Linked DNA regions of Bombyx mori. The protein of the gene in region 2 interacts with the protein of the main gene of each other region in a pairwise test. Links are inferred from orthologs where the notes say so. Each region holds a gene or a part of one and is shown on either strand. Other genes may lie near its edges. The genes, in order: abnormal wing disc-like protein, ubiquitin-conjugating enzyme E2 variant 2 and tef2.

What was found.
Region 1: the proteins of ubiquitin-conjugating enzyme E2 variant 2 (region 2) and abnormal wing disc-like protein interact in a two-hybrid assay, tested with the Caenorhabditis elegans proteins (2 studies listed by BioGRID). The link is inferred for Bombyx mori from reciprocal best matches to the Caenorhabditis elegans genes uev-1 and ndk-1.
Region 3: the proteins of ubiquitin-conjugating enzyme E2 variant 2 (region 2) and tef2 interact in a two-hybrid assay, tested with the Caenorhabditis elegans proteins (2 studies listed by BioGRID). The link is inferred for Bombyx mori from reciprocal best matches to the Caenorhabditis elegans genes uev-1 and eef-2.

The regions. Positions count from the first base shown.
Region 1 is NC_085121.1:5,954,891-5,957,635, forward strand, and holds abnormal wing disc-like protein, read left to right. Parts: upstream 1-1,582; 5' UTR 1,583-1,629; coding exon 1,630-2,094; 3' UTR 2,095-2,173; downstream 2,174-2,745.
Region 2 is NC_085117.1:11,658,791-11,662,469, forward strand, and holds ubiquitin-conjugating enzyme E2 variant 2, read right to left. Parts: upstream 2,261-3,679; 5' UTR 2,018-2,260; coding exon 1,993-2,017; intron 1,900-1,992; coding exon 1,757-1,899; intron 1,688-1,756; coding exon 1,562-1,687; intron 1,479-1,561; coding exon 1,338-1,478; 3' UTR 570-1,337; downstream 1-569. UniProt on the Caenorhabditis elegans protein: Involved in protein ubiquitination, but has no ubiquitin ligase activity on its own. The uev-1-ubc-13 heterodimer catalyzes the synthesis of non-canonical poly-ubiquitin chains that are linked through Lys-63.
Region 3 is NC_085125.1:13,071,052-13,075,393, forward strand, and holds the start of tef2 (translation elongation factor 2), read right to left. Parts: upstream 2,832-4,342; 5' UTR 2,735-2,831; coding exon 2,732-2,734; intron 2,397-2,731; coding exon 2,182-2,396; intron 1,689-2,181; exon of another isoform or gene 1,579-1,688; intron 1,537-1,578; coding exon 1,343-1,536; intron 965-1,342; coding exon 767-964; intron 1-766. UniProt on the Caenorhabditis elegans protein: Catalyzes the GTP-dependent ribosomal translocation step during translation elongation.

The DNA.
Region 1 (2,745 bases), on a different chromosome or scaffold from region 2:
ATTTACTGAGACTTTTTCAATTGACTTTTTGGAAGATCCCGAGAAGTTACGTTCAGCAACTTTGTTTCATTTTCCCACATTTGTGCACTTTCACAGATATTAAACGGTTAATAAACCACCGTTATTACACATTTAAACCTGAAGAAACACTAAATAGACAAAATAAAATCACACAACTTCACTCCTCGCGTTCCCGCCAAAAAGTCCCCTGGTGACTGATTTTTTTAAGGGATTTTATGACCTGGTAACTGAGTCCTTTAAGTCATATCTTATTTTAATTTATATTCATATTTTTATGAAAAATGATATTGTGGAGTGAAATGAAATGAAGATGATTAATTTGAGACATTAATCAACTGGCATGAAATGAATTGAAATGAAATGAGATGAAATGGGATGAAATATAATCTCAGTAAAATGGTGGTCATTTACTAAAAAAAATTCAGTGGACTTTTTGGAGGATCCCGAGAAGCTACGTCCAGTGGCTTTGTTTCATTATCCCACATTTGTGCACTTTCACAGATATTAAACAGTTAATAAACCACCATTATTACACATTTAAACCCGAAGAAACACTAAATAGACAAAATAAAACAAATCACACAACTTCACTCCTCACGTTCCCGCCAAAAAGTTCCCTGGTGACCGATGTAGACTGATGACCATAGATTATACACTTATATAATTTTTTTCATGGCATCACGTTGTGCGTATTGCCACAGACAAAGGTAAGGAAACATAGTAGTACAGGAAAAGAATTTTACATCGGACGAAATTGATATCGGATAAAGGATAGGATCAGCAGGATAAAAAACTATCTCTAATACAAAATACTACGCTAAGGAAAAGAACAGTAATTAATAAATTAAATCAAATAGAATATTAATTATATACATATGTACTTATAATTGTATATTATTTACAGTAAGAAATAAAATTATACACTTATTACATTTCTGATGACTGAACGGACGGACCATTTTAGTTCTACCCAAAGAGTAATTTTGTCTATGTCTGTTGCCACATATTTTAGCAGCCTCAATACATACCTAGTAAAAATGAAATTCGAGACCTGTTCCAGTGAAAGAGCTCCCAGTAGCCTGTTCCAAAATAACAGCCTGTTGTGTTGCAACAAGCTTAATAATGTTTTAAGTAGAATATGTTCCACATAATGTAAGTCATACATAAAAATTGTTTTAATACATTTTTTTAAATGACAATCCTTCATTCTTTTTTTTTATTTGATTTTTTTAATATTAATGATATGTGAAACTAGTTTTGCCAAAATGCACTTATATTAAAACATTTAATATGTTATATATATAAGTATGTGTGTGCTATCTTTTTCTATTTCTGTACGTGAAAAGGGGAAAGAGCTTGTTCCAAACTGTTTGCAGTGGAGCGAAACAACGCAACATATAGAATATTATGGAACTGTTGTTTCGGTCTATAGACAGCAGTTCCGAGTTTTTTCACAGACGAACCTGTTCCGTTTAACTGTTCTGATAAATACGCCTTATCCCTAATACCTAGTCTATAGTCTGTAGCTGCCAGCTGCCACCTGCCACTTTTTAAATCATTGCCGGCTGTAGTGCACGTGTAGTTAATTGAGCACGTTAGTAATATTTCATGATGGCGGAACAACGTGAGCGTACTTTTATTATGGTTAAGCCTGATGGTGTACAACGTGGTCTTGTGGGCACCATTATTGAACGTTTCGAAAAGAAAGGCTTCAAACTAGTCGGTTTGAAATTCGTATGGCCATCAGAAGAACTTCTCCAGCAACACTACAGCGATTTGGCATCCCGGCCTTTCTTCCCTGGTCTAGTAAAGTACATGAGTTCAGGACCTGTGGTCCCTATGGTATGGGAGGGCCTTAATGTTGTGAAGACTGGCCGTCAAATGCTTGGCGCAACTAACCCAGCTGACTCGCAGCCCGGCACTATCCGCGGTGATCTCTGCATTCAAGTTGGGCGTAACATCATCCATGGTTCGGACAGCGTTGAATCTGCTAAAAAGGAAATAGGCCTCTGGTTTACGGACAAAGAAGTTGTGGGCTGGACACCTGCAAATGAAAACTGGGTTTATGAGTAAATTTATTTTAATCTGTATATTTTGTCTTGTTCTCATAATTTATGTTAAACATTCTGTGATTAAATGAGACATTTTCATACATTTGTCTGATTATTATTATGTCATTACCTTATTCAAGAATTATAACTATTGCCATTTTTTTCTTAATTTTCTAAATTAAAAAAAATCGTGGACAAATCTTCAAATTGCTAATGTACCTTTAAAATCTATATTCATGATACAAGGCTGGTTCATCTACACTTTCCTCCTTTAATACTTATACTTGAAATTTTGATAAAGTGCAGGGAAGTAGCAGGTACATCTATCTTTAAACAAAAAAATATTATTTGTGACTTTCCATTTTAAAACATATAATCTAATAGCTAGTTTTTTAACAAAAAGTTAATAGTGAATAATAATGTCTATATGAAAGAATTTATAGCCAAAAAGTTATCTGCATCTCTACAAGAATTTTAGCCTAATCCATTGCAAGGTTTCTCATTTGCGGTAGATCCTTAAAAACAAACTTCAATAGTAAAAAATATAATATGAACAGAGATGTCCACTGTAATTTTATTATCATTTAAACTTGGAATTTTATTTTCAGTTTGTTTCAAAGATTTCTTAAGCCTATACCTACCAGAAAATTCAAATTAGTCTTGATGGATTCAA
Region 2 (3,679 bases):
GTCCGAACATTATGGTAACATCATAGCAGACATGTACATACATGCATGCGAGATAAGTGGTATGAACAATAGTGATTCAAACAAAACCATTAGCAGTTACAGAAAAGGTGCATCATCAAGGCTCAGTACATAGTTACTTCCTGTATTGCTTGATATTCGACTCACTTAGTGGTGCAGTCCTCAGCCTCGTGGACTTACTTGTGGATGATGCAGACGACTTTGCTATCTGCTCTGACAGACGCAAAGAGTTACAAAAGTCATTTCTTTCGCTGTATAACAGGCCCGTGGCCTAATGTTGAGTGTTGCCAAAATCAACATCTCTTAATAACCCAGACCCAGGTGATGACAACAGTCCGATTCCCATCCCACCAACTTGTAGCAACATACAATCAATGTGCATATCTGATACAACCTAGGAAGATATAAACGTATTTTCAGCAAAATTAATCTACTCCTTTGAAAATAAATAACAAGTATATAAAAATGAAAAAAAAAAACATCTCTTTTACTTACTCTGATATTTCATTATTCTTCTATGACGAACAGAGTTTTTAAATAAATGGCATATATTGAGTGTTATTTGATTTATTTTTGCTAGTATTACATTGGTAAAAATATTCATGTTATGAAACAATTTGACTTAGCATTTGGTTGGTACTATGAGTTTACAGATACATATTGTGATTACTGCAGTTTTTTTACTCTTTAATGAATTGGCGATTATGCCAAATGCACATTGCATTAAATGCATAAATTACAAAGACCAAGAATCAATAGTACATTTACCTTATTTTCCTAAGAAATAAACACCTATGTTTACACATGTAAAACTATTAGAAAACTAAAGCAAATATAATTAAGCAAAAAGCAAGTCCCATAGTAAGTTTATGATAAATATTCAGAGATAAATAAATGTTTTTGCTTATCAGACATTGTTTGAGATATTATTATATATTCCACATATTATGAGTACTATTAAACATTGTTGTTTTAAAGACCATGAGTAATTTAATACAACAATATTATAGCACTAGTGTTTTGCTAGCCTAAAATGAAGAAATTAGTAAAACTAGCCTTAATTTTACCAAAAGCAAGTTTCACTTTTATAAAGGCCACAATAATTTTGGTAATGTGATAAAATAAATGGGTACTAGAATCAGATATGATAAACACCCAACCTACATCTCAGAACAATATTTAAATTATAAAGGCAATAATTGATCTGCAGTACATGCACCAGCATGACAGTTTTCCCAATATAGAGAACATTTAATTTATTTTAAAATTATTGTTTTATGTGAAAGTAGATTGGGCCTGTTGAGACTTGATTGAAGGAACTAGAAAGTGCTTCCCTCTGGTGGCTGAGAAAGCTTCATGTTATCTTTAAGAGTCATGAGACGTCTCACTTCTTGAAGAACTGTTTTGATGGTATAGTCACGCTGCCATCTAGCAAGAATTGGGACTTGTCTATTATCCACCTGATAATTTAAATATATGTTAATATAGTTTGTTCATCAAAAGGTAATGTTTGGCAATATATTCAACATAACATTATACTTACAAGTCCAGTTTGACTATTGACACAGTTCATATGAATCCTAGAAATAAAGCGGGCTGTTGGTGGCTCATCAGGGTATCGTGTTCCACATTCAATTTTAAGGGAGTACATTCTATTCTCGTAGGGTGTCTGTAATTTTAAATTATAAAAAAGTAGTTTAGATATCACAGATAAAAAAAGTATTTAAAAAAACTTTACCCTTGGTGGGCCAATAATCATTCCAGTCCAATGAGTAAGAGTCATATCATCATCGCTTTCAAGACCCCAAGAAATGGTTCCATCGCCCACTCCCTTTTGGCCTTGTTCAAGTTCTTCTAAGAGACGAAAATTCCGTGGCACCACTAAATTGGTAAAAAAAAATAAGTAAAGTTAATATTTATTGTTCACATGTTTACACAAGAAGAGAAAATCTATAGATCGAAAAAAAATCTTACCAACGCCTGATGACGGATTCGCCATGATCACAGTATCACCGGCTTAGAGAACTGTAAAAACTTAGATTAATTCAGTCAAGCTTTATTGCATAGGCGCTACCTAAACAGATTCGTTTTATTTAAAGTAAGTATGGCAATTTACAACAGAGTAATTGTATTTTAATTAAACTAGATTTTGTTCCAATAAAGAGAATGAAGGTTAGCAATTTTTTGTTGACTTTGACAAGTTGCATTAACCATAGATTTTTTGTTTGCTAATTCACTTAGCTAGGCGAAAGAAACAACGCAGACAGCCAAAAGTATTAGAATTTTTTTCAACACCTAATTTGAGAACTCAACTTTATTCACGTGCTTTTGTGCATAAAGTTGAATCAAGTGTGCCTCTTATTATAAAATATTACATCTTTACCTAAGAAATTGCTGTTTAGGCTTACAGAAAGATAAAGCATTCTTTATATTTTTATTATCGATAGGATATGCTCTTCTTGAAGAAGTCAGATGTACGAGAGCCAACAAAATTTTTGTACTGACTCTCAAGCATTATTTTTTTCCCTGCCAAGAACTTGTCCAGGCTTTGAAACAAGGAACAGACTGTCGGCGCAAGGCCTGCTGAGTACGGTGGATGACGCAAAACTTCCAACTAGTTCATATAGCTCAGAGACCATCTGTTGTACTGTATGAGGTCGGACGTTATCATGTAGAAGCAGCCAGGATGAGCGATTAAGGCTGGTCTGAGATTCGCGAGCTTCTCAGTTATTGTGCTACAGTAGGCATCCGCAGTAGAGGTAAGAGGAAAGTAAGAATTTATGATGAATTATATCGGCAGTAGACCAAAGAGTGACCATGACTTTTTATGGATAAGTTTTCGCAAGCATTGCCTAAGTGCTGAACTAGAGTCCAATCAACATTTTGACCACTTACGTTTATTAAAAAGAATCCATTTTTCATCGCAAGTGATAATGCCGTTTAAAATCATTTTGTTTCTGCGTCTGTTAAGCAACGTAAGGCAGATCTTAACGCATTCATCGTTCTGGCTATCATTCAATTCGTGCAGTAGGCACTTATCAAGTTGTTTTATTTTGCCAATTTGACCCAACTGAACCAATATTGTTTTGATGCAACTTCGAAAACTTCCACAGTCGTTTTAATTCGTCGTTGTTACTTTGGTTTTTGGGCGTGAGCGGGTTTCGTATTTTAGACCAGAATTTCTATGTTGGAAGCCATTAACGAATTGTTTGTTCGCTTGTAGTATTCACTCAGTACACATCATTAATGTTGGGCATCGACATCAACCCCACAAAAAACACAGCCGGGCTCTTCGATAGAGATCGCTGCGACCGATGCGGGTTCCTACTCGGTCGACTCTATCCCATGATTTGAAAGCGAACTAAGTTGTGTTTTCACTATTGTGGTTTCTTTCACCTCATTCGTTTTAGGTCTATGATTTGCATTTTAGTATTATAAACAATAATATAGACAAATCATAATCAATAATAAGTACAGCAAAGGACAGAAACAAATGGAAATCCTTACACCCGTATCTTTAGTCGTTTACACGAGCTTAACTCGACTCGACTCAACCTCCAACGCGCGTTTTTGTACGATTAGTCGTAAAAATAAACTCCACTCAAACGTACTTGGAAAATTTTCCTAACCGGAGTGAAGTAAGCGAACTGTCAAGTCAAGG
Region 3 (4,342 bases), on a different chromosome or scaffold from region 2:
CATGAAGTCAAATTTTCAACAGCATTAATATAATGGAGTCCCTGGTGGAAAAGTTTACAAACCCAAAGACGATTCATTAAATATGCACATATGTAAGCTTACAATACACATCCTATCATCCATATTTATGCAAAATTTATTACTTCACAGGTTTATTTTTATTACTTTATGATCCCTCTTATTGTGGAATCTGATAGTGCATGCTATAAGTATGTATTTGCTTTGAAATTACCCACCATTTGGAACATCAATATAATAGCCTGATAAGACACTGCCTTTAAAGTCCATAACTTTCTTTGAATGCCATTTATTATGGATTCACATCTGTCAGTATATTTTTTATTGAGTTTAATTCTAGTTATTATTTATAAACTTCAACTTATTAATTTATAATTTTGGATTACAAATAAAATATAATTTTTACAACCTACTTCTGTGCACAAATGCATTGTTTCTATAATTCTAATAAAATGAAAAAGTGAAATGTAAGTTTAATGGCTACAAAATATAAATCGTAGAGATAACAGGTGCGTCCGTGTATGACCTTGATGGCTACACGCTAGCGTCTATCGCGCGTCTTGTCACGTGTCCAAAACATGATATCAAAAGATTCAATGTTGTCCAACAAAAGCTGTGACCATCAACCGTTTGTTATTTGAAATTTATAGAAACTCCCAAAAATGCCAGAACAAACTCAAGGAAACTGTACAGAATCTTGTGATTATTGCAGATAATTTTATAGGAAGTTATTATTTTAAATACTCACCCATGGGACCACCATCATCGTTATATGTGGCTATAATGACGTTAACATTTTCTACAATACGCTGGAACGTCTGGTATAGTTCTTCAGCTTCAAGTTGGAGCTCAAGAAGAGCACGGTCCATTTTGTTCATGAACAGAATAGGCTTGATGCGCTCGGCAATAGCCTGACGCAGTACTGTTTCAGTTTGTACACACACACCTGGTTAACACAAAATTAAATTTCATTATAATATTTTTACATTGCTAAGTTTTTTTGTTAGTCTCGGCAAAACTGACTAGACAAATTTTGATGCAACTTTTTGAGCTTTACAGCTTACGAGTGCAATGCCCTTTTTGAGTAGAATAATTTTTGTTAATTGTAAACTGAGCTCCTGAGTTTCTGCCAACTATATATATTATATCAGATTTTTCAAGCATTTCACCCTACCTTGAAAGGTAGCTTTAAGTAATTTCATATTTAGTCATATTCAAATCTTAATGGAAATAGCATAAAGGGCTCCTCTATTACTGGTCATTAACAAATCAATGAGAAAGAATTAAATAAGATATTTTTATTAAAAATTAATATTCAACTTACCAGACACACAGTCAACAACCACAAGGGCTCCATCAGTGACACGGAGTGCAGCTGTTACTTCAGAAGAGAAATCAACGTGTCCAGGTGAGTCAATCAAGTTGATCAAGAAACCTTTCTCACTCTTTTCACGCTGGTCAGGGTTTGTGATGAATACTAAATCTTTCTCTTCAAGCTCGAAGAACATAGAGATGGCCCTGGTAATAAATTCGTGATATTAAACTCATGGTACTTTTTAATATTCCCAAATTTAGTTTTTATGATTCATCAGATGGCCGTTCTAAAAGATCTTCAATATTCATATCAGTCTTTTAATGGTAAAGAACATTCATCATTTAGATCAGAGAATTTTTAGTAAACTTGCTATTAAATTAAATCCAAGTGTTGAACAAAACATTACTAATGTATTATTATTTGTCTTTTCCTTAAACATGATTAGTTGGTAAAATGTTACTTAATTACTACACATTATTAAAATTTTATGAAATTTAATCACTTTTGCAATCCCAAAGTAAGAAAATGACTGACCTGATTCTATCGTGGTGTATTTCATGATAACTAAAACTTAACCTAACAGTGTGGTCTAACCTTTTCGGATTCCTTTGCAAATTTCGTAAATAATAAAAACCATTTCTGAGAAATCTTTTTCGACACATCAGCTACTATAAAGGCACGTTATATTTATTTAAAACGACGCAGCTGGTACACTCATGTGGTCTTTTGCATTAAAGCAATAATAATTTGTATATAACGAGATTTTTCGTTAACTTAACCTCATAAAAGTTCAAGGGCAATGACGTTCGGTGCACCATGTGGCAATATGTATTTTTGAAGCTACTTACGTAGATTTAATGGTGATGCAACGGTCTTGTTCGTCCTTACGCGTGTCAGTGAAACGGGTCTCTCCGGCTCTCGCACCAGCAATGATACCGGCCTTGGAAACCAACGAGTCCGTGAGGGTTGACTTGCCGTGATCGACGTGGGCGATCACAGACATGTTGCGGATATTCCGCTTCTTGTCCATCATCCCACGGATCTCGTCTACCGTGAAATTCACCTGCACATACGAAATAATAGCTCATCATGCTGACACAACACAGATGTTAGATTTTAGACATTTAACACTTAGATTCACGATATTGTAAAGGTTTAGTTTTATTATGTTGTTTAATGTTTAATTATATTTGAGATGAGTGATTGTTGAAGTCTCGGTACGAACACTTTAAGCACCACATCACTTGAAAACGTCATCCAATTCACAAAGACCTGACCCGAACAAAGCAGAACTTTTACAGTAACTATTCCGTCAAATTAATAAAATATGCACGTGAAACGTATGAAAACATTCACCGGGATACTTTACTGGTCACTAAAACTGATTTCCTTACTCACCATTTTAGATGGTTTATGATTTTTGTTCTATTAAACCAACTACCATACGCCAGCAATGGCGTACGCTTTGAAAAAGGACCCTTGCGAGGGCCGGATGTCGCAGGTCGACGTCAAATAAAAAGAGTCATAGACAACATATAATGCTGCCAGACGCTTACTCCGAGATGTCAACACGAGTTATTGAGCATTAGTCGATTTTCAAGATTGTCTGTTAGTAATCTTTTTGAATACTATGACGCGTAACAGATTTGGCTGAATAACAATTTGTTTGGTGTTTTGTGGCCTAAATTGATCTTCTGAATTCAAGCTGATTGTATTGAAACTATATTCAATCAAACTAGATGGAAATGAGGTGAAATAAAATATCAGTAAAATGGTTATTAGATTATCGTCATCGTCATCAAGTTTTGATCTTTCTTATTTTGACATGAAAGACCTTTTTTAACAACCCGACCGCCTTCATAATAACTGCTTTTGATTTATTTTAAATCTCCGCAAGGATGACCACATCTCTACATAGCGCTTAAAAATAAATTTTCTCGCTTTACGTCAGCGATATTGACAACATGCACGGTAGGTACGGTACTTTAAAAATTTACATTTTTCGCATAATATATTCTGCGTTCTTCTAATAATCTATTACTTGACTGTCCCACGTACATCTCTAATTTGAATTTTACTTCCTCTCAATGTCAAGATGATCACTGATCACGTATATAACTCTCAATGAAGGGTTCGGCAACTTTTGCTAAATGAATTGGCAGGAATATCTAATAAGTAGACTTACTTTGTATAATTTTTTTGTCATAAATATATAATAAATATTGAATATATGTGGAATGTATGGATGTATATATATAGTGCTGTATGAGCTGTGTATATTTATGCGTTCTATATTTTATGAATTAGGTTTTTTCAGTAAAAGCAATGCATCTTTCAAAATACTTTACCAACTTTGGTTGACTGGTAGAAAAGATCTTAAGCTTTTAGTCCACCTCTGTAGTCTTGTGCAAAAAGAAAATTAGTAAAAAAAAATTGACAAAATATAACAATTCGTACAACTTTTTTTCTGGCGTTCCCATTATTTATTAAGTTCATATTTTTGCTACTGTTTTTCAGTCTTAAACGTGTAAGAATCATGACTAATTATTTATTTTGTATGTGGTAAAGTAGATAATTTACGAAAATGCACCGAAATTGTTGAATATGGTTTCCATGACTCGACTAAAAAGTTCAATAAACTCTCAGTAAATTTTCACAATTTTTTAAAAAAATATTCATTTTTCTTGTTTATTTCTTATTTATTTCATTTTCGATTAAACTTTTCATAGCACACGCCCTACTTTTATTACAAAAGATTTGGTTGTAAGGATGTCCCTTTGCCTGTCGGGTTTGACTGCTTTTTAGTAATTTAAACACCTCCCCATCAGCCGGGACAGTCTACAAAGGTCTATGCTATTATCATGTAAAATAATTTGACTTGATTGGCTTATTGGTGTAATTTTCAGATAGATTACATCTTCACAATTTATTTAACCCATTTTTTTTATTAAGCCTAAATGAGCGCCACCTATTGTCTAGTAGAATGTCTAACATTGACTCGTTGTTGAT